3 linked regions of the Elephas maximus indicus genome follow. The main gene of each other region encodes a partner of the protein of the gene in region 3 in a complex. Links are inferred from orthologs where the notes say so. Each region holds a gene or a part of one and is shown on either strand. Other genes may lie near its edges. The genes, in order: PRKCZ, CDH5 and PARD3.

Region 1 (7,759 bases), on a different chromosome or scaffold from region 3:
GAACTGGGGAGGGGGGGTCAAGCTTCTGGAGGGTACCCAGGGGGGCCATCACCATGCGGATGGCTGAAAAACACTCCCTTTTTTAAGACCAGCGTCTCTGAGGTGTACCATCCTCAGCTCCTGACTGTGGAGCCCCACAGCAGTGTCCCCAGGACACCTCCATCCCAGTGGCAGCCTCTCACCTGGTGGCCACCTCATCTTGGTGGGCACTTTCCAGAACACTGCAGTAGCTGAGCTCTGGTACCGGGTCTCCCCATCCCCAGTGCCCCAGGTCTCAGAGTTTCCAGTCCCCAGAAAGAGACACCAAGGCAGAAGCTTTAGGAGAAGCAGGTGCTGGGAGGGCTGAAGTGGCTGGGATTGGGGAAGGCCTCAGGCAGAAAGGAGAAGGGAGAAGAAAGTGGGTAGAAAGGGACAGGGAAGGGAGAGGGGGAACCTGGAGGATAGTCGAGAGGAAGAATGGGAAAAGGGAGAGAGGGGAGAAGGGAGGAGAGGACTTAGGGAGATGAAGGGGGGATGAGGAAGAGGAGAGGGAAGAGGAGAGAAGGAAGGGGCTTGAGAGTGGAGAGAGGAACTAGAAGGGGCTGGGGAGGGGAGGGGGAGGGGACGGGGTGAAGGAAGAGGAAGGGGGCGTGGCCTTCTCAGCCTTGAAACTGGAGTCAGCAGGTCTCATTACAGGGTGCTTAGAAACCAAAGCGCTCCCCAGGGGCCTGAAGCGCTGGGATGGGGTGGGCAGGAGCTGCTGCAGCACTCAGCTGAGAAATCCCTGGGGCACTGCCCTCCAACTCTGCCCAGGACTACTTGGGTGCCTGTGTCTCATCTCTGTGCCAGCTGAACTGGTCCTGACGAAAGACTCAAGGTCTTGCATGCCCCATGGTGGAGGGGCAGCTCCGGAGTGGATGTGTTCTCATCATGGTGCGCTGGGTCAACCCTCTGCTCCCGCTAATTTTTAAAAATGTTACTTGTTGCTAGATCTGCGGGATCCTTCTGTCTGTGTCCTTCTATAGGGTCATTATGAGTCAGAATCTACTCCATGCTGGGTTTGGTTTTCTCGCTGGGAAGGGGCAGCCTCTCGGACCTCTGATGAGACATTCAACAGAGAGCTTAAGAACCAGGAGAGCCAGGACGCTGGACAAGTCCCAGGGCCAGAACTTCGACATTTTAATCAGCCCCCACTCTCTGGGGTCAGATGACAGCACCTTCTGACCTCTCAGGGAGCTACTGGGCCAGGCCCTCCCCAAGAAAACTTCCTTCTTGCTCTGTAGCCACCAACGCCCCTCCCACAAACTTTCAGGTGCCCAGGCTGAGGCCAGCAGAAGAGACGGGGGTTAGCAAGTGGCCTCAGAGAAGAGATGAAGACCACGGAGTCTGGACAGCAAACCTGGGGCCAACTCGCCCTCGGGACCTGACTAGAGACCAGAAGAGGCTGCGCTCAAGGTCAGGAGTCGGCAGGCCCTTCTCCAGGTGCGGGAATCACGGACCCCCAAAGGGCTACCCAGGACGGGGCCCGGCCTCGGGAAGAAGCCACCCCTCGCTCCCAGGCCTCCATGGCCTGAACCTGCTGCCACCGCCCTGAAGCAAAGGGAAGCTGCTAAAGCCGGACTACCAGGTTCACCGACTTGGGCAAGGCCGGCCCTCGGCTTGGCTCCACTTCCCTCCCGACATGGAGAAGCACCTCCGGGAGCTCCCAGGTTCGAGCTCCGGGCTCCTGGAGACAGATCCAATGCGCCCACTCCTCCCTCACCCGGTGTCCCCGCCGCGCGGAAGGCGGCGGTGGGATCCATTTGCCATGCCACGGAGCCCGGCAATCTGGGCACAATGCCTCTTCACTCCGCCAGGGGCTGCCCAGCGCCAGGGGCAGCCCTTTGACCCGCGCTCGGTCACCGACCTCTGTGAGGCGCCCACTAGTCCCATTTCAGAGACCCAGGTCGAGTCCAGGCCGTCCCAGGCGGACGAAGACGCGAAAGTCTTGTCTGCTGGAAAGGCCCCCAACAGACCGCGCCTCGGCCCGCCAGGGTCCCTCGGTTCTCGCACTCATCTGCACGCTCGCTGCACCTGTCTTCACCGGCCGTATTACACTTTTTTTTTTTTTTTAACTGAGCTGTCCCGTAAACTATGGAGAAGTTTAGAAAATCGCGATCTTTTTTAAACTTCCAGAAGTGTTCACAATTCTATAAAAATTTTAGCCCTTAAAGGTTTGTAGGCTAATGTCCATAGCCAAATTTCCACTGGAAATGTCAACAGCAATGTGGCCAGGTTGCCAGACTCCCAGCAACGCCAGCTTCCCCCGCCCCTGCACTCGCCCCGCGGGGTCCTCCGGCCAGTACGAGTCGGTAAAGCCCAAGTGCTGGAGCGCGGCGCCGGCACGGCGCGGACCCGGGGCGGCCAGGGACCCGCCTTCGCCCAGCAGCGCTCTCTAGCCGGGCTCCGCCATCCGGAGCCAGGCCAACCCCGCCCTGTCCGCTAGGCTCCCGCGGGTGACGTTCCAGAGCTCCCGGGGCCGCCTCTCGGCGCTGCCCGTCGGGACCTCCCGGGATGCACCTGGGACCGAAGGGCCTCGCTGTCCTCCCGCATCGCGGCCGCAGCTCCCGGCCCGGGGTCGGCAGGGGCTTCTCCGGCGGTCTCCGCGCCCCGACCGCCGCCCGCTCGCGCTCCGACTCCTCCAGCCGTCGGGGCGCGAACTCACCCGCTATAGTGCGCCTTCAGGCGGACACGGCAGCCGCTCCCGTCCATGTTGGCGCCGGTCCGGCTCGGCATGGCGCTCCCGACGGCCGTCAGGGCCGCGCCTCGGGTGGTGCGGGCGCTCGGGCCATGGCTGGGGGCGCACCTGGCCGGGGGCGCAGCAGTGCCAGGTGTGGCCAGCGGCGGAACGCGGAAGGGAGTGCGCGGCGCGGGACGAAGGGACGCGCCGCCGACGGACGCTGGCCCAGCCAACTCTGCTGGAACTTGGGCGCGGGGCGGGGATGGGGGCGCGGCCGGGCGGAGGCGCGCGGCCGAGCGGCAGCGCGCACGAAGTGCGGGCGTCAGGGGCCCACGGGGGCGGGGGTCCGAACATGGCCGACCCGAGACCGAGCCGGCGACCAATCGGCGGGGCGCGGTCGTCCCGGGGCGGGGGCGGTGGCACCTGCGGCCAATGAGGGCGCCGGCGGGCGGCCACCTGAGCCAATCCTCGGGGGATTCCGCGGCCGCGGCCCAATCGCCGCGGCGCAGGACGGACTACCTGTCGGGCGGGGCGCGGCCCCACCTGCGGCCAATGGGAGCACGCGTGGCCCGGCTCTGCCCGGCAACGTGAGACTGGGGGCCGGGCTGGAGGGGCCTGAGAGCCCCCTCGGCGCCAGGCTCCTCCGGGAAACGGGCGCCTCCGGGAACTTGTTGGAAATGCAAGTTCTCGAGCCCCGTCCAGACCTATGGAATCGAAACTCCAGCAGTCGGGGTTAGCAAGCCTCAGGACCCCCCGGGTGTTGCCGCCGGTCTAAGGAGCAGCGGGGAGCGGTGCGCCGGTGACATGTTTTAAACGCAGTGGTCAATTCTCAGGCTTTTTTTTTCCAACAGGTCCCTTCTAGAAACCCTACCTTCCCACCGCTCCTGCTGCTCTTCCTCTCGCTCCTCCTGGTCTTCAGCTCGTGAACGGTGCCTGATCTCGGACTCTTCTCGGGCCCTGCAGCTTCTCGTATAGGCTTCTTGTTATATGCCCTACAGTCGATTCCGATTCGTAGCAACCCAGTAGGACACAGTGGAACTGCCCCGTAGGCTTAAAAAAAACCCCAAATACCATTGCAAGGTTTCAGCGCTCTCCTGAACTCCAGACTATGTCAAACACCTGATACTCTTGCCTCTTACATCCCTCATCACGCCATCTGCAAAATATTTCCAGAATCCAGACACTGCCCATCACCTCCATTGCTACCACCTGGTCCAAGCCGCACCTTTGCCTGGATTATTGCAGGAGCCTCGGACTTCGTCCCATGCCCCACCCCTCCCCCCACCCCAGTCAGTTCTCCACATGGTAGCATCAGAACCCTCTTAAAACATAAATCAGGCTGTGTCCATCTCATATTCAAGCCCCCCCCACCTGGTTCCCATCACACTGGGAGGAAAAGCCACCTCTTTATGTGCCCCCTCCCTACCATGCCCTACAGTATCCAGACGCTCATCTCCCCCACCTCATCGTGACTTACTCCACTCCAGCCTCCTTGCTGCCCCACCTCAGGGCCTTTGCAGTGGCAGTTCCCTCTGCCAGGAGCACCCCTACAAGGCCAAAACCCACAGGTAATTTGAGTCTCTTCCTAATGTCCCCCCTCCTCCGGTCTTCTCAGCTGGGCGCACTGAGCTCCATCCCTGTAGGTTGGGGGTGAAAGGGTGCAGAGGCCGTCATGAGAGGGGAATCAGCTGAGTGCACCAGTGAAGGGTGCCCAGCCAGGAGGGGTCAGTAAGCCCAGCTTCCGTGCAGGCCTCTGGCTTCCTGCCTCAGGGACACTGGAACAAAGCTTGCCCAGGCAAGGAAGGAGGGTAGAGAGGTCAGGGAGAAGCCCTGGCCTGAGGCTCACCTCCCACTGCAGGCAGGTAGGCCCCCTCCATTCTAGTTCTTGGACACGCCCTCCCAAGGCCCCACCCAAACCCAAAGGCCATACCTTTCCCAGAAGGCGTTTACCAATAGGAAGCCGTAGCTGGGGTGAGACCTCCAGATGGGAACTCTGTCCTGGAAGGTGGCTCCTGGGCCACTGCCAGCCCCCATCCTCATGGGACAAAGCTAGAGGAGGATAGAAGCTGCCTGACCTGGGCACCATGGGGAGGGTTCAGATCCGTGGAGCCCCCAGCTGGGTGCCACAGTGGGAGGTTGACGGACCGTTAGTGACCCTGAAGTGGCTGTGCTCTGCGGGGTTAGGGGAGGGGAGAGGGGGTCAGGAGCCTATTCCAGGTGGGAGGCCTCACTGGGAGGTACCTTCCCCTCTTCCAGGGCTTGCTGACTGTAGCCCCTCCCCCCCTCCACACACACTCCTAGCTAGCCCTCTTCCTCTGCTGCCCTCTGGCCATGTCCAGCCCCCAGCTGGGGTTAGATCCAGTCAGTGGTCCCACAGGCTCCGGCGGGGTGGGGCTGGGGGTTTGCTGGGGTCGTTTGCCCGCCCATCCCTAGACATTTCTTCCTGGGGGCGGTATCTGACATCTGCTTTCCTCAGCAGGCCAAACCGTCCTGTCATCCCACTCCAGGGAGGGAGGGTGAGCCCTGGGGAGTTTCCCCGGGCCCCCCAGTGCCGAGCCTTTGGCCCACACCCATTAGGGCCCCAGGCAGACGGACAGACCAGTAGGTGTCCAGCCCAGGGGCTTCAGGGTTCCTGCAAGCGGCGCCATGGCGAAGCCTCACAGGGTATCTGCTTCCACGTTCACCAACCACTCTCCTCGGGTGTCAGCTGAGGGTGGGGCTCTGTTCGCCTGGGACCCCTCTGGATCCCCTGCCATCTCCGCAGACATCTGACAAGCAGTGGAATGAACAGATGCATGAATGAGTAGGTAAACGGGTCCTCCTGAATGCTGGAACCTGGTAGGCCTCCTAGGACCTCAGGCCCCAGGGCTGGGGAGGGAGAGGGTAGCCGACTAGAGCCATTTCCACCCAAAGGGAACCCTGAGTGTGACCCTCAGGAGGGGTGACCTACCCGAGAGGGTCGATGGGGAGGAGACAGGTTACAGTCCTCGCACCCCGCCTCACCGCACCCAGTGTACCCGTGTCACGAAACCGAGCCCCTGTGCGCCCAGGCCTGGCCAGGTCCTGGAGGGGGAACCTGCCACTCCTCGGCCCCCGCCCCTTCTCTGCCCCCAGGGCGGTGCAGGCAGTCAGCGATGAGAAGATCACATCTGCAGGGAGGCGAAGACTGCGGAGTAAAAACGGGTGTAGAGGACGCAGCCTCCTGGGATGGAAAGTTGAGATGAACCCCCAAAGGAGGCGCAGGCAGGTCGAATGCAGAGCCCTGGGGAGGATCCGGGAGGGTCATTTTCTCCTCCAGACATTTCTGCAGTTCCCAAGTTTCCCACAAAGACGTCATATTTTGTAATCACTAACACCTGTTGGAAACCCGAGTGGCATAGTGGTTAAGTGCTACAGCTGCTAACCGAAATGTCGGCAGTTCAAATCCACCAGACACACCTTGGAAACTCTATGGGGCAGCTCTGCTCTGTCCTATAGCGTTGCTATGTTGGAATCAACTGGACAGCAGTGGGTCTGGTTTTGGTTTGGAACACCTGTTAGCTCCAAATAGAAAAAAAAAATACTTTTTTAACTGATTATGGAAGTAACACAGGCTTGGTATAAAACCTCAACAGCACTGAAGAGCAGAGAGGTGGGAAGCCCCTTGGCCCCGCCCCCTCAGGAGGCCAGCCAGGCCTGGTTCCAGCCCCGGCGTTCCCCAAGTCCACCTGCAGAAGGGTGCTGCACTGAAGTGGAGAGCCCTGGTGGCGGCAGAGGACACAGGGCCTTGGCCAGCCCCTGGGAGTGTGGCTGTGGAAGGTGGTATTGGTCACCATCTGATTTTCTTTTGTAAAGGGCCGGGTGATGATCCTTTCAAAGGACTTGGAGATTCTTTAGATGAGAGAATGCACACAGTGTTTATGCTCCAGGTGACTCAGCAGACAGGCCTGTGGGGACCAGGGACCTCTCCATGACCCCAATGCCTGGTTTCCAGAGCCACCTTTCTCACTGAGGCTGGTGGACCTACACTGGGCCAGCTCATGGTGCAGACTGTCCAGGAAGAGGGCTTGCTGAGCCACTGGGGTCAGGCATGTTATCCCTCCAGGTGTGGGCTGACCCAAGGGTCACAGGAAGAGCATAGAACACTTGCCAACAGGCCTTGGCACACGCAGCTGTGGGACGAGATGGGGGAGCAGATGTTTCCCTTCTTTATCACGGACCATGTAGTTTGGAGAAACTGAGTTGGTATAACAAACATTCACTGCACTCATTCATTCATTTGGCTAATGTTTATTTTGGTTCCCTCCGCCCCCAACCCCGACACACTCCAGGCCTCCCTCTGCTTATCATTTGCTCCCCTGTCCCTCCCACAGCTGAGTGAGCTGCATCTGCTTCTCCAGGGTATACATCAGTTCTGGCCCAGGCGACTCAGCAAACATCTCTACCCAGCAGGCTGACTTTCACCATTGCCGTCAAGGCCAGATATGTGTGTGTATGTGTGTGAGTGTCTGTGTGTGTATGTGTGTGTGTTGGAGCATCTCTGTGTGATGTGTGTACCTGTGTGTGTTGGAGTACCTATGTGTGCATGTGCATGTGTGTACTGGAGTATCTCTGTGTGCATGTGTGTACCTGTGTGTACTGGACTATCTGTGTATACATGTGTGTACCTGTGTGTATTGGAGTATCTGTGTGTGCATGTGTGTACCTGTGTGTACTGGAGTATCTGTGTGTACGTGTGTGTACTGGAGTATCTGTGTGTGCATGTGTGTACATGTGTGTACCTGTGTGTACTGGAGCATCTGTGTGTGCATGTGTGTGTATCTGTGCACAAGCGTACCTCGTTTTGTTGCACTTTACTTTATTGAGCTTCGCAGATACTATATTTTTTACAAATTCCAGGTTTGTGGCAACCCTGTGTTGAGCAAGCCAATCAGTACCATTTTTCCAACAGCATGTGCTCACTTCATGTCTCTGTGTCACATTTTGGTAATTCTCACAATGTTTCCAACTTTTTCATTATTTTTATCTCTGTTGTGGTGATCTACAATCTGTGATCTTTGATGTTACTATTGTAATTGTTTG
Region 2 (7,965 bases), on a different chromosome or scaffold from region 3:
ATTCATGAACTGTGTGACCACAGGCCCATCTCTTGCCCTCTCTGAGCCCCAGATGCCTCATCTGTAAAGAAGGCAACCACAGCTGCCTCCGTGGACAGGACATTTAAAGGAGATCCTGGGTGGGAATCCAGGCATGCAGTAGGTCCTCAGTAAGTGTGTGGCCGTCTCCACCTTCCGTCTCCCCATCCCCTGCAGCCTGGGAGCTGTGGGCTCCACTGGTGGACTTACACCCAGCCCCATTTCCTGATTCTGCCCTGGGCCCACCTCCTCCTTCCCTCTATTCCTCTCCAGAAGGAAATCTCATTCACCGCCTGCCTGGCCCTCCCCCGACCCTTCTGTAGGCCCACTTCCCTCTCCTTCTAGTATCTGCACCTGCCAGGACCTGACCATTCCCACCAAGGCCCGAGGCAGACAGTCTAGGGGTTTCTGAGTGACCTTAAGGACAATTGCCCTAGAGAGATTGGAAGACTAAGACTCAGAAAGCAGAGGGGCTCACAGCACCTAGGGTTCCTGCTCTTCCTCCAGCAAGCCTTCTGTGATTTCTCTACCCAACCCCAGCTTGGCCCTGGTTCAAGGCAGGTTTTCACTATCTCCCCAGCCAGAAGCCAAGCTTCCGAGTGCAGGGCCTGTCTGCTAGAACATTACTTCCCTAGGAGTATCAGGCCATTGGCTTGTCCTTGTGCCGAGTCTGTCACTCAAACTGTCAGGGTCATTCCTCTTGGTCTTCCCCTCTCTGAACTTCACTATGGAGTGTGGCATGGGCTGTGGGGTCAGAAGGGGCTGGGTCTCACTCATATCCTGCTTCCACCTCATAATAGCCATGTGACCTCAGACTGGCTGCTCAGCTGCTCTTGGCCTCGGTTGTCCCACCTGTCAAATGGGAGTATCTGTAGCAGCTGCAGAACTGCTGAGGGGCTGCAGAGAGGTGATGGGTGTAGCAGGGATGGGTCCATGTTAGGTGAAGGGCCTGAGATTTTTCCTGGGCTGGTGGCTATTGTGCCCACTGTGTGTCCCCAAGGCAGCAACAGAGCTGTGAGTCATTCGACTTGGGAGAAAATCAGTGTGGCCCCCTCTGGCTTCCTGCTTTCATGTCCGGCCCTTGTTCAGCTGCACAATTGCTTCAGACGGGTGGCTTAACCCCTTCAAGGCCAGTAGACCCTCCCCCCCAGTAAGCCAGAATAGGTGGGGCTGCCTGGGGGTTCAGCAGCTCTTGGACTCTCGGAGGGTCATCTGCTGCCCTGCAGACTGGGGCCCACAGGCAGGCTGGACACAGGCCAGATAGGGGAAACAGGGCTCCCCGCTGCCTACGGGTGAACCAAAGCTACTGTGCTGGTACTCATATCACCGGCCCTCCTGCCCCTTCTGCCGCTCCCTGTATAAAGCCCTCCGGCTGCACCAGCCTGTCTAGGTCCTCTGCCTTGCATCCCCAGGATGCCCTTTGTGTCCCGTTAGAATCCTATCTGCCACCACACAGGGCAGAGGTCCTGCCCTCTCACCTCCACTGGGGTCAAGCACAGTGCCCAGAAGTTTGCAGGTGCCGACAAGTGCTCCCCAAAGCAATAACTGACTTGGTGCCCCCTCACTTCCACCCACTCCCTCTTACTTGGGGGGCTCCTGAACCATCCATGATGGGGCCTGGGTTCAGTCTAGTGGCCTCGAACTGTGCTCAGGCGCTCAAATGTTCGTGACATTCACAGTCACGGTCAGCCCTGGGGTTGCAGGGAAATCAGCCACAATTCCTGAAGGATCTCCCTACTTGGAGCCATTCCCAGTGCCAGATGTGGACACCACTCACCTCATTTAATGGGCTCATGAAAAGACTTTTCCTCCATTTTACAGATGAGAAGACAGAGATAAGAAGCCATGTGGTGCTGCATCAGATCTCCCACCAGCTCTTACGGAACTCCTCCAAATCTCAGTTGTTGCCACAGAGAAATGGAGAAAGACTATCCCTACCTTGTGGTGCTGTTGATAATGGTAAAATAAGAAGCCCCATTGCCTAAGAAGTTTCTATGCGCGGAACTCCAGGTCTCACAATGAATTGCAAAAATATTTGCTATCCCCATTGTTCAGACAAGCAAACTGAGGTTGCCACTGGTGAGTAAGTTTCCAAGCTCACATAGGGAGTGAGCGGTAGAGCCAGGGCCTGAACCCAGGATGGCTGGCTCCAAGCTGAGCTCTGCCCCAGACCGCCTGTTCTCCAGGCTGTCCCAGGGGGCTGCCCTCAGATGTAAGGACCCTGGGTCCTTCCTGTCCAGCCTGTGGGTGTGTGGGTGTTGGGGGACAAAGGATAGGCCATTTTCCTGACCACAGCTCCACAGTGCATAGGGAATTCCCATAGACAGCACCCCACGTGCCCAGAGCTGAGGTTAGGCCTCAGTGTGCCTATCCTGAAACTGGGGCTTTGGCTGACAGAGAGGGCACAAGGCTCAGAGCTCCTTTCTGGCCTCCTTCCCTGAATTTCAACACAGAGCTCAGCTGTGGTTGGGGTGATGTCAGGCCTCGATGAATCTGCTCCCATGGGGTAAGGGGCACTGAGGGGGAGCCAAGGCGTGGGTGCCAATCCTCTGCCCTTGGTGTGCTGGGTGATTTGGAAAGAATCTTGCCCTCTCTGAGACTGGCACAGACGGAAACCAGTGGGCCTCTGAGGCTCGGTGGGCCCTGGGGTTACACTGAGCTGGAGAGTCCATTTGTGGGACAGTCGAGCTCTCACCTTCTCACCCAGCCTGAGAACCCCTGTTTCTGCCCTGCGACAGCACCTCTGAGTGTACTTTCCCCAACTACGCTGAGCAGGGGGAGGCCCATTCTACACCACAGGAGCAGTTCTCCCTTGGGAGCCTGACACGGCCATTCTAGAGATGGGGAAGCTGACGACCCTCCCTTCTTGGGCATATGGCGGTGGGTCTGAGGTACAATGGGGTGTGGGGACCCTCACTCACCGTGCCTGTGGGCTTCTGTTCCGTCACGCTCTCTGTCCAGGGCTGAATGTGGTGTGGAGCTCTGTGCAGCTCGGCTGTCTGACTCTGGGGCAGGGGGAGCCACACCCAGCCAGCAAGGGAGGCCTGGCTGCCGCCCCTTCAGGTTTTCCTGTTATTGTTCCTTTGTGAGGGCCGGGCCGATTGCAGATAGGCAGGTCCCGAGGTGGGCGGCCACCTCGCCCAGATAGGCTGTCCACATGGAGGCCTAACTCTGGACCTGGCTGAACTCGAACCCTGACTCCAGACCTCATCCCTGGGCCCCTGAGCTCAATATCTCAAGGGCCTAGTCCGTGGGGGCCCCTGGACCTACACCACCCATTGTAACCCTGAATGAAAATGTTATTACCCACATTTTACAACCCAGGAAACTGATGCCCAACAAGTTTAAGGCACTTATTCACCTAGCAAAGCAGCCCTGGTGGTGCAACGGTTAAGCACTCTGCTGCTAACTGAAAGATTGGGGTTTGAACACACCAGTGGCTCCATGGGGGAAAGACCTGGTGATCTGCTTCCGCAGATGACAGCCAAGAAAACCCTATGGGGAAGTTCTACTTGTCACACGGGGTCACTATGGGTTGGAATCGACTCAATGGCACCTAAAAACAGCCACAACAACATTCAATTAGCAGGGCTGTAGCAAAGCCAGAAATCAAGCCTCAGTCCACCTGGCCCCCCGTGACCCTGTGATATACTGGGGTGCTTGGGGAGCAGATTTATAGGTGATGGGGAGGACGGAGGGACCCTGGGGGTGGGTTGGGTGGGGAGAGGGGAAACAGCCATTCTTGGCTTAAGGGGACCAGATGAGCTTCTCCCTAGTGGGTGTGGGCGTGAGGGGGTTCCAGCTCTAAGGAGCCAGTCTGAATTGTGGGATTTGGTTGGGTATCAAAATATCGGGCAGGGATCCAGGTGTCCTGCCTCTGTTTTTGTTGTGATGGTTAACCAGTCGTGTCCTTCCTTGAGCCTCAGTTTCCTCATCTGTAAAATGGGGATAATCATAGCCTTAACCTCACAAGGCTGTTGAGGTAAAGAAAAGTCAGTGAGGTGCTTGGAAGATAGTGGAGCAAAAGGTGGGCCCAGAACCTGTGACAGTCAAGAAGCTGGGAAGGGAGGTTCAGATTCTGTCACTCATGGGGGTCACCTGGGGAGCTTTCAAAAACTATCGATACCTGGGCCTCACCCCAGACCAGCAGATCTGGGATCCCCCAGGGCAGGGCCTGGGAGTCTGTCCTTTACATAGTTGCCCTTGTTTTTCCATGGATGAATGGTTGGGAAGTCCATTATACAGCTAGGCAAACAGAGGTCCCAGAAAGGGAGGGCCTTGCCCAAGGACACTCACTAAGTTCGTGGACACCTGTATGGAGGTGGAGAATGGGGTGGAAGAATATATATATATATATATTTATTTGGTGGAGGATAAGGATTTCTCTGTTTGGGCAGGCTAGGGTTGAGATGCCAATTAGAACCCAAGTGGAAACATCGAGTTGGCCATGGCACAGCCTGGACATGACTTCTGGAAGCCATGAACTAACAGCTGGCTCCTGGGGCCACGGGAGTGGACAAGCTGACAGGGAGAGAGGCCCCCAGGCCTCAGACAGCAGATCTGTTAGAAGAGGAGGGTCCAGCGAGGAAGGGGGGAAAGCAGGAGAGGGCAGGGCCATAGGGGCCAAGCAAGAAGAGAGAATGTGGTCTGCTTGGGCCCAGGGAGGGCCAAGCCTTGACCAGTGGCTTTGGAAGAGGCCATCCATGACTTTGACCAGAGCAGCTGAATGGAGAGGAGCAAGTAAGGGAGCCTGGGGAGGGAATTCGTGAGGGGCGTGTGGCAGTAGAGGTGACAGCTCCTTCCCAAGCCTTGTAGTGAACGGGAGCGGAGAAATGGGAGGGTTTTTTTGTCTTTAAGCTGATGGCCAAGGCAGCATGTTTGTGTGTTCAGAGCACATCCAGCCATGGGAAGACAGATGATGCTGGAGAGAAAAGGGAGACCTGCTGGAAGGAGAACAGTCCTCGAGGTGGGACTCGAGTGGATCCAGCACATTCCATCATTCATTCCATCATCGTTGGCAGAATAAACAAACAACAGCTCAGCGTTTCCTCCTCCACAGGATTAACCCTGCCTTTTCCTGCCTGGGCAAACACTGGTGGCTTAGTGGTTAAGTGCTCTGGCTGCTAACCAAAAGGTAAGCAGTTCGAATCCACCAGGTGCTCCTTGGAAGCTCTATGGGGCAGTTCTCCTCTGTCCTATAGGGTCGCTATGAGTCGGAATCGACTCTATGGCAATGGATAACGGTAATAGGTAATTTCCTGCCTGGAGCCTGGGTGGCTGCAGGGGAACCAGAACAGGCCAGTGCCCTGTTCTTCTTTACCCAAGGTCCTAGGTGCCCAGCCAGCTCCCCTCACCCCGACTGTGCTGAGTATCTGTCCTCATTGACTACGTGCCCCAGGGACCTGCCCAGCCTGAGCATCACTTCCTGCTGGGTCTCAGACTCAGTGCTGGTGGCAGAGGGAGACAGTCCCTGTCTGGCACCATCTGTCAATTCCCTTTGTACTCCCAGTCCGTGGGGAAGTGACTCTGCCCTGAAAACTTGCCCTTCATTCCTGTTGGCTGTAAACTAGGACAGGGCCAGGCAGGTTCATGCCTTCAGGCCCTGGGGGTGGGGGTCCAGGCCACAAGAGGGGAAGCTAGTACCCCTCAAGGCCCACCGAAGATCCCAGGCCCAATTTCTGGCACTGTCCAGCCCCTGGCCCAACCCCTCTCGAGGCCAAGGCGGTAACAGGAGGGCATGTGATCAGGAAGTGCCATCAGGAGCAAAGGAGGCAGCCAGCAGCAGGCAGGAAACGGGATGGTCTGCGAGACCCGATTAGCAACCGGAGAAGGAAGCAACAATGTGGGCTGTGTGTGTGTGTGTGTACGTGTGTGTGTGCAAGGACAGGTGCCCACCCAGTCTGTGCCAGGACAAAAGCTGATCGGGGAGGGGGCCCTGTGATGCCCTGCTTGGAGAGGGACAGGCTTGGGGATTGGCAGACCCAGGTTCAAGTCCCACCATGGTCCATCACTGGCTGTGCGTCCTGGGGGAGCTGACTTAACCTCTCTGAGCCTCTTTTCTCAGCCGTGAAATGGGTTATCAGTTCATACTGTGCAGGGCTGTCTGGAGTATCATCAAGGCAACGAAGAAAATGACGGTCACAGCATTATTGGGTGGGCTGTGGTCAGGATGGGGAACCATAGGCCACCGTGACCGAGGATGTGGTCAGGGAGGTGGTGGGCTGAGGAGTTAAGGGCAGCCTCTCCTTGGCCAGGAAGGACCAAGGTTGAGCAGAGACTGAATTGCCGACAGTGAGAACAATGCCTTATGTGGGGGCCCTGGGAGGGAGAGAGAGAGGCGGCTGAGCACTTTCCCAGATGTTTCTCACTTTCCTTTTGCAACATCCTGGGAAGGCTGCTGGGGCAATGGTGCTGAGTACTGAGTAGTGGGGGGCTGGGGAGGTCTGGGGGTGGGGGAGATATGAGGGTTATGTGCTGGGGCACATCCGGCCTCTGCCAATTACAGCCCGGCTGAGCCTGGACATGCCACATGGCCCGTGGTGCCTTAGTTTCTCCTTCTGTAAAATGGGAGTGATTGCAATGCCTTCCTCATGGGAATGCTGGAAGGAGTGATTGAGAAGATGAACCTAAAGTATATAGAACTGACTCCAGTACACAGTAAGTGCCCAATACATGTTAGTCATGACAATGATGCCACAGAGATGTTGACAGTGGGGCACAGGCAAGGGTGTGAGCATGGGCATGGCGTGTGCTTGTGGGGCAGCTGTGTGGCTACGTGTGTGTGTAAGGACATACACGGAGTATGTAAGGCAACCCATGATGTGACTGTGTGTGTGTGGTATTCCCGAGTATAGGAGGGGCCTGGGGAGTGCAACCAGGGCCAAGGGAGGGCCAGGCCCCGGGGCAGCACCTTTCTCCTCCTTTGTCTGGGATCTCTGTCCCATTTCACTCAGTGACCAGCACTCCCTCAGGGATGCAGAGGGGGCAAAGCCTGGCTTGGGGCTGCCCAGCAAGCCCAGCAGGGCAGGATGGGACCAAGTTCCCCAACTCCCTGTCTGGAGGGCAGGCCTGAGTCTGGTAGGAGCCTGGCCCTGCGGAAGCCAGGACTTCCTGTCTCCAGTCCCCACATTCCTTGCATCCTGTCAAAGTGTCCCAGGGAACAATGGGTGGGAGCCTTGGCCATCTGCGGGGCAGGAAGGTGGGTCAGGGGCCACCCTGTCCTGTCTCTTGATGGGGCAAACACACCAGCTCCAGCACTAGCTGTGAGCTTGGCGGCGCAGTAGCAGGACCAGAACCAGGTGAGCCCAGGACGTCTACCCCTGCCTGCCTGGGTCCCGGAGCCATAGCTCCTTGTCTTCTCTGTCTCAAAGACAAGCTTTTTCCAGGCCCCTCAGCACACACTGCCCCCTTGTCCTGAGGTAGGTTTTATGCACAAAGTCCAGCTAGGGGAGGGGGAATCTGAGCTGGTCATTGGAAGGATCCTGCCCAGGGAGAAACCAAGGCATATTGGCGGGAACCCATCACTCAGGCTTGTGGAGGCCTTGAGAGTTCTCCAGGCTCACCTGCCCAGCCTGCTGCTGAGAATCAAGAGGAAAGCAAGAGGTTCTGACCCAACAAAATAAACCCTCCCCAGTCCCTGTGCTAAAGCTCCCTTCTCGTAGGGCCATGTCAGATCCCGTTAACTCTTCCTTTACACACAGTCCTGACAAGCTGCTTCTCTAGGCCAGAGGGCACAGAGGTGAGGGCAGTGATCACAAGCTCTGCTACTGCCTGCTAATCAGTGTTTCTTGCCTTGGCTTTCTTATCTGTGAAATGGTGGTGACTGTCCACACCCTGTCTGAGAGGGCCACATGAGAAATGGATCTCCAAGAACTTTGGAGACTCTGAAGCCTGCCTCCTCCTCTGGCCTGTACCTATGCCATTAAGCCCAGCCGAGGCCAAAGGCAA
Region 3 (6,965 bases):
CCGAACTATGCATCGCACTTGAAGAGCATTTAAATAACTCTGGGAACCCCTGAATCATTGTTGACTTCTCCATCTCATCCATATCCAACCCCAGTGCTGTCGTCACCCTTCCTTCCACCTTACCCTTCAGAACTCAGCAACATGCCTTTTCTCTTTGGTGAAGACTTGCCAGGCAGGCTCCCTTAAGAAAACTGCACTGCTTCTGCCCGGCCAGGTCACTGTGAAGCATTGATCACTAATATTCAAGAACAAGGTTCAGATCTATCACCAACCAAAAAACTCAAACCCACTGTTATCGATTCCAACTCACAGCGACCCTATAGGACGGAGGAGAACTGCCCCATAGGGTTTCCAAGGCTGTAAAACTTTCTGCAAGCAGACTGCCATATCTTTCTCCTCCAGCGGCTGGTGGGCTCGCCCTGCCAACCTTTTGCTTAGCAGCTGTAACAGGTCTATCACCAAGGCCTCTGAACTGCACTTCCTAACACATCAGACACATTCTCTTCTATCCACGCTGCTCCACACCACTACCTGCTTCACCTGGAGGACCTCAGAGCCTTTTGTCCTAGACACTTGCAATCCATTTTCTACAAAGCAGGCAGTGGGAGCCCCTGAATGGCCAGCACCCAGAATAGTGTCTTGGACATATTAAATGCCTTAAAATTTGTGTGCAATGAATGAGTAACTCAACCAGATTTTTGTTGTTTATTGACTTGTTTGGGAGATGCATTTGTATTTCCCAAGCAGGCCATTCAATCAGTGTGCACTGTGTGCATCATGAAATAAGACTAGTTTTAACGATGCAAAATGAGTAAAGTTGAAAAGAAATGCTTACCACCTGCTCCCTTCTCAGGAACCTAAGCACACTGCACGGTACACGGTACACATTATCGTATTCCTTTTTCCTTTCACAACTTATGTTGTTGGTTTTCAAAGTACATGGGCAACCATTACTGATTTAGAATACAGAGATCATAAACTGCATTCATATACAATCCTTCAAGATGCTAAATAGATTTAGAAAGCCGTTCCCTCCCCCCCCATCAGCTTTGCAAGATAAACAGATGCCCAATTTCCACTAATTTTATTTGACTTTCCATAAAAGGGTTCAACCAACTACAAGGAAGATTTTAGAGCTATTAAATAAAGTCAACATGTCAGGTTCCTAAACTCTCCCCCAAATTATCTTTAAAACACCAAATGTATGCTATTGCATTAGATTTTTTCTCAATGCGTACTTTAAAATAATGAGAAAGTTTTTTTCTTCCAAATTAATTTTAGAATTGGAAGATGCCACACTGAGCTCTGAATCCACCCTCTACACATTCAGATTGGCAAAGCCACCTTCTCCCTTATCTGCTAATCCAAAACCCACAGGAGCCAGAGCACTCCGCTATCAGGAACAAATGGGGAAAACAAAAGCCGAGATGCTTCCCACCAAACGTTACCATACAATTTCCAAAGGAAGTATCCTCAGGTGCTTGAGAGAAACTTGAGCGTGGGCCGTTGTCAGACACAGACACAGCCGATGAAACAATTTAACGAAATGCCTTTTCACTTCTGACACATTGTAGAGGAATGTAGTTACGTGGAAACAATGTTATCACTCCACGAAGAAAAAGGGAAATCTACTCGACTCCGAAATCAGGCCCTGGCTCAGCAGTGCCGGCACCACATGGAACTAGTTCCAGAAACATAAAAGCTGAGTTCCCAGCAGGAAAACTTTTAACTCAGTGAATGATTCAAGGGTGGTTCTTCTTTAAGGAGCCCTGCACCCGAGCCTCTTCATTGCGAAGAGTCTCTGCTCGGCAAACGCTCGCGAGCGATTGGGAAAGGGTGTCCCCCTTTGGGACCGCCTTCCCGACCCCAAGCCAGAGACTCTCCTCCCACCCAGCACGACCCAAAACGCGCCGGGCCACCCCTACCCGCAGTCGGTAGGGAGAAAAAGGCTCTTCACCTTGGCCCTCTTTCCCCCACTTCTCATCTCCAACACCGGAGAAAAGGAGTGGAGAGAAGCAACGCAATCCCTCTCCGTTGTATATGGAATAAATAAACTCTTCTCACACCAAAAAAAAGTTCTATTTTCCCCAGCCTTTGCCCGCAGGGCCTGAATCGGGGAAAGGCCTGGGGCTGGATTTCAACTGGCCGCAGCCACCGGCCTGGGAGAGAGGCGTCCCGCCAGGTTGGCCCCGGTGCCCTCGGTGCGTTTGATTTGGGGCTTTTGCTCCTTCTTACAGGGGCCCCAGGAGGCAGCCTGTAATTGGCGCCGGCCCGCGCGGCACTGCCCGCCTCTGCCCAGCGACCCCGCGGCGCGACCGGCCGCTGCAGCCGCGAGCCGGGAGCCCAGAGGGGCGGCGGGGGGCCGCGCTTGGCCCCGGGTGCGGGCGGGAGAAGCGCAGGGTCCGGCCACGGTGCCCGCGCTCTCGTCGCCCCCGGCCCATGGGGCGGGTCCCCGGCGCAGCCATGATGCAGTTCCCTCGGCTGCCAGTCTGCCCCATTCGCTCCGGCCGTCCCACCCGGAGCTGAAAACTTTCCAACCCGCCCGGCAACTCCGGGACAGGGAGAGCGCCGGGACCCCGGGCCAGGCGCCCGGCCCAGGCCGAGCCGGCCCGCCGCACTTTCCCTTTCCCCGCCTCTCCCCCTCGGTGTTCCCTCCTCCCCCTTTCCAGGAAGCGCCATATTGATCCCGAGCGCCTTCCCTCCTCCTCCTCCTCCTCCTCCTCCTCCGGCACTCCCTCCCCTCCCCTCCCGGCTCCGCCGACCCCCCACCCACCCCTCCAGCGGCCCCGCGCGCCCAGCCCCGGCCCCTCACCTTGGCGATGGCCTTCCTGTAGCGGGTCACCGCTTGCTGGATGAGGTTGAAAACTTTCATGTTGCCGTCTCCGCACGGCACGACCACCCGGGTCCTCCCGAAACACACCGTCACTTTCATGCTGCCGCCGCCGCGGTCCCACGCGCGCTCCCTCGCTGAGCCCTCGGCTGGAACGGCCACCCGGCCGGGGCGGCTGGACCCCCCGGGGGACGCGCGGCGGAGCCCCCGCTCGGCGGCGGGCCGAGGACGGCACCACAGGCGCCCGGGCGCAGCCGGCTGTGGCTAGGGGCGCGGGGCGGCGGCGCGGCCAGGGGGGCGCTCGGCTCGCATGCTCGGCGCCCGGAGGCCCGCGCGGCCGGGGGCTCTCGCTGCTCTCCGCGAGCCGCCCTCCGCCCTCCGCCCTCGCCTCGGCGCCCGCAGCCTCCGGCCACCTGTTCGGCGTCTCTGGCGCGCTCCGCGGCGGCGGCGGCTCAGGCTCTCCGGCGCTGGCTCTCAGTCGCGGCCGCTGGGGGAGGGGAGCGCGCAGGGGAGGAGGAGGAGGAGCAGCGCCGAGGCACAAAACACTGCTCGCATGCGGCAAGGGGGGGAGGCGCGGCGCGGGCCGCGGACTCCGCGCCATGGAGGCGGAGCGCATTGCCACGGCCCAGCGCTCACCTCGTCCCCGCCCTCCCGGAGGGGCGTGGGCGGTGGCCGGACTGCAGGGGGGCGGCTGGACCCTCCACCCCACACCCCACCGTTGCAGGCTGGGGTTTTGCTTTTCTATCCCGTTCCCTCAGCGGCGCGGCAGGAGGTAGGAGGCCGAGGCGCCGGGCGGCTGCGAGCTGGCAGCCGGGCAGCAGCCCCGTCTCACCCACCGAACCCCCAGCCCCGGCGCCGGGTCCCTCCCTTCCTAGCCCCCTTCACGCACCCGAGGACACTTCGGTACTGCACTCGGACCTTCCGGCCCCTGCTTGGGGATCGCCAGTTCCTAGCCCCCAGAGGTCTCTCCAAAACCCCCTCCCCCTTTCTTTGTCACTTTTAATCCCCCTCCTCAGCCGGGGGCGTTTCGGGTGCAATGGTTTCTATGAAAAGCAGTTTACACTCGGCGCATCAGGCTCAAAGCACGGAGATCGTTTTGAGAAGAGCAGTAACCATGTCCCCAGGAGATTGGAACGGGGCTCTGCCGGGATATTCCAGCTGAGATTTCTCCTCCCGCAGATGGATCCTGGCACCCCGAACGCCTGTCCCCGGCCCACAGCCTGACGGGGCTTCTGCTCTGGGTCGCTGCGCTGCGAGGCCAGGCAGGGATTGTTATGCATTAAAAGCAAAAATTAATCCATCTGCTGGGGGGGGCGGGGAGATTGGTGAAGCTCTGACTGGGCCGGGTCTGTCTCCTGAGGCCGCAATTTACCTTGAAGTTTCCTGCGATCCCCTGACGATCCACTCGCTTAAATACCTAGAATTGTATACATCAGCAATTCAGATAGTTTTATTTGTTTAAAATTTCTGCAACATAAACAATCCTCACGGAAATCTATGAACAATATACTCAGACTGCCTTGGGGAAAAACTGCAAAAGGATCCCAACGATGCGCTAGCGCTTAACGCAGGGACTTAAACCCCTGGCAGAGAAGGCAACAACGTAATTAGTTACATGCAGGAGATGAACAATTTAAAAGAACGTGAACCAAGTCAAGAAGAGTAACTAACTGAAGCCCATCGCTGTCTTAGTTATGAGCTATGATTTCTTAGTAACTCTGTTACTATGTTTAATGTCAGCAAAGATTCTTTGTTGACGCTAGTCTGTCCCAAATGATAGTAAATTCATTTCTGCCAGTTGTTGCTAGGACATGTAAAAGTAGTAACAGCTCCCATGAGCTCGAGTGGAGAATTTCAGCATTTGGAGCAGAAATTGCTGGTTATCAACCAATACATGAAACTCCACCAACCATTTTAAAAAAGGGAACATGACAAAATCCCTGCATTCTCCACTATCCCACACTGCGCCCACCACCTATAGTACAATTTGTTAGATAAAAACAGTACACTGCCATCTCGCAGCCCTTGACCAACGCTCTTACCTTTCTTAGCAAAACAATGCAAAACAATGTAATAAGTAGGCGTTGTGTGTCCTCATCACCATCTTACCCCAAGGTATTGACAAAGTAGTGAAGTTGCAATAAGTAGGCATTGTGTGTCCTCATCACCATCTTACCCCAAGGTATTGACAAAGTGGTGAAGTTGCTTGCCCAAGGTCACAGAGAAAGCTCCAGGCAGACCCAGAAATAGAGTCCTGGATTCCTTCCACAGTCATAGGTAAGGCTCATAACACTCCTGTTTGGCTACAACATTCAACATTTCTACACAATAGTTTGTGACAGCTATGATGGGAATTCCAGGACACTTAATTGTGCTCATGAGGAACCTTTACATAGACCAAGGGGCAGTTGTTGGGACAGAACAAGGGGATACTGATTGGTTTAAAGTCAGGAAAGGTGTGTGTCAGGGTTGTATTCTTTCACCATACCTATTCAATCTGTATGCTGAACAAATAATACAAGAAGCTGGACTATATGAAGAAGAACAGGGCATCAAGATTGGAGGAAGACTCATTAACAACCTGCGTTACGCAGATGACACAACCTTGCTTGCTGAAAGTGAAGAGGACTTGAAGCACTTATAATGAAGATCAAAACCACAGCCTTCAGTATGGATTACACTTCAACATAAAGAAAACAAAAATCCTCACAACTGGACCAATGAGCAACATCATGATAAACAGAGAAAAGATTGAAGTTGTCAAGGATTTCATTTTACTTGGATCCATAATCAACAGCCATGGAAGCAGCAGTCAAGAAATCAAAAGACGCATTGCATTGGGCAAATCTGCTGCAAAGGACCTCTTTAAAGTGATGAAGGGCAAAGATGTCACCTTGAAGACTAAGGTGCGCCTGACGCAAGCCATGGTATTTCCAATCGCATCATATGCATGTGAAAGCTGGACAATGAATAAGGAAGACCAAAGAAGAATTGACACCTTTTAATTGTGGTGTTGGCAAAGAATATGGAATATATCATGGACTGCCAAAAGAACGAACAAATCTGTCTTGGAAGAAGTACAACCAGAATGCTCCTTAGAAGCAAGGACGGCGAGACCGCATCTTACATACTTTGGACATGTTGTCAGAAGGCATCAGTCCCTGGAGAAGGACACCATGCTTGGCAGAGTACAGCACCAGCGGAAAAGAGGAAGACCCTCAAGGAGGTGGATTGACACAGTGGCTGCAACAATGAGCTCAAGCATAACAACGATTGTAAGGATGGGGCAGGACCGGGCAGTGTTTCCTTCTGTTGTGCATAGGGTCGCTATGAGTCAGAACCAACTCGACAGCACCTAACAACAACAACGATGATGACTTAACCCTTGCTGAGGTCTTTTTGTTTCTTATATTAATACTTGGACCCAGAACAATGGTTATTGATAATTATAGGTGTTGTTTCTGTTAAAATACATGGGGGGGGGCTGGAGAGGTGGGGGCAGATTATACTAATTTAGAGTTGGGCTTCCTGAAAATAATTCTAATTGAAAGCCTAGTTCAGGAACAGAGTACTTCAGACATTGCTCAGATCCATGCTCCGATCCTGATTCAATCATTCAGTAGTACCTTAGGCATGGCACTCAGCCTCTCTCCAGCCTCAAGTTTTATCGGCTGGAGAATGGAGCAGAGAATATCTATCTCATAAATCATGGGGATTAAATAAAATACTTAATACTTGCTGCCACAATATAGTTACCACAATGTAGACAAAGAGTGGCAAAGACCAGCACAGAATAGCATGTGATGATGATTACGGTGATGGTATCAGGGAAAGGACAAAAGCAAGGAGGAGCCCGAGGCTCAGAGAAATATGTGGACTGGTAATACAACTAGTCAGTGACCAGGCCTGGACCAGAACTGAGGAAGCAAGACTCGACTCAGGCTGTACTCAATTCACTTTAATTCAGTCCCACACACATTTACTGAAGACCTCCACATGGGAAGCTCTGGCTAAAAGTCATTGCCGTTAGCCGTCATGGAGTCGCCCCCAACCCATGGCAACCCTATGTGTTACACAGCAGAGCTGCTCCATAGGGTTTTTTTGGTTGTAACCTTTACAAGAACACCAGGCCTCT

The links.
Region 1: PARD3 (region 3) and PRKCZ share a complex: the UniProt entries of both Homo sapiens proteins name them as parts of the par polarity complex. The link is inferred for Elephas maximus indicus from reciprocal best matches to the Homo sapiens genes PARD3 and PRKCZ.
Region 2: the proteins of PARD3 (region 3) and CDH5 are in contact, whole or in part, in an NMR structure (PDB 2KOH), measured with the Mus musculus proteins. The link is inferred for Elephas maximus indicus from reciprocal best matches to the Homo sapiens genes PARD3 and CDH5. Residues at the interface, in NP_296369.2 of Mus musculus: Ala599, Gly600, Leu601, Gly602, Val603, Ser604, Val605, Lys606, Gly607, Arg609, Lys611, Lys622, Ile625, Asn655, Gln656, Met659, Arg663, Met666; in NP_033998.2 of Mus musculus: Tyr774, Gly775, Asp777, Gln779, Glu780, Glu781, Leu782, Ile783, Ile784.

The regions. Positions count from the first base shown.
Region 1 is NC_064821.1:40,597,548-40,605,306, reverse strand, and holds the start of PRKCZ (protein kinase C zeta type), read right to left. Parts: upstream 3,023-7,759; 5' UTR 2,755-3,022; coding exon 2,684-2,754; intron 541-2,683; exon of another isoform or gene 183-540; intron 1-182. UniProt on the Homo sapiens protein: Calcium- and diacylglycerol-independent serine/threonine-protein kinase that functions in phosphatidylinositol 3-kinase (PI3K) pathway and mitogen-activated protein (MAP) kinase cascade, and is involved in NF-kappa-B activation, mitogenic signaling, cell proliferation, cell polarity, inflammatory response and maintenance of long-term potentiation (LTP).
Region 2 is NC_064839.1:32,891,011-32,898,975, reverse strand, and holds the start of CDH5 (cadherin-5), read right to left. Parts: upstream 3,052-7,965; 5' UTR 2,940-3,051; intron 1-2,939. UniProt on the Homo sapiens protein: Cadherins are calcium-dependent cell adhesion proteins. They preferentially interact with themselves in a homophilic manner in connecting cells; cadherins may thus contribute to the sorting of heterogeneous cell types.
Region 3 is NC_064822.1:8,726,457-8,733,421, forward strand, and holds the start of PARD3 (partitioning defective 3 homolog), read right to left. Parts: upstream 3,017-6,965; 5' UTR 2,933-3,016; coding exon 2,813-2,932; intron 1-2,812. UniProt on the Homo sapiens protein: Adapter protein involved in asymmetrical cell division and cell polarization processes. Seems to play a central role in the formation of epithelial tight junctions. Targets the phosphatase PTEN to cell junctions.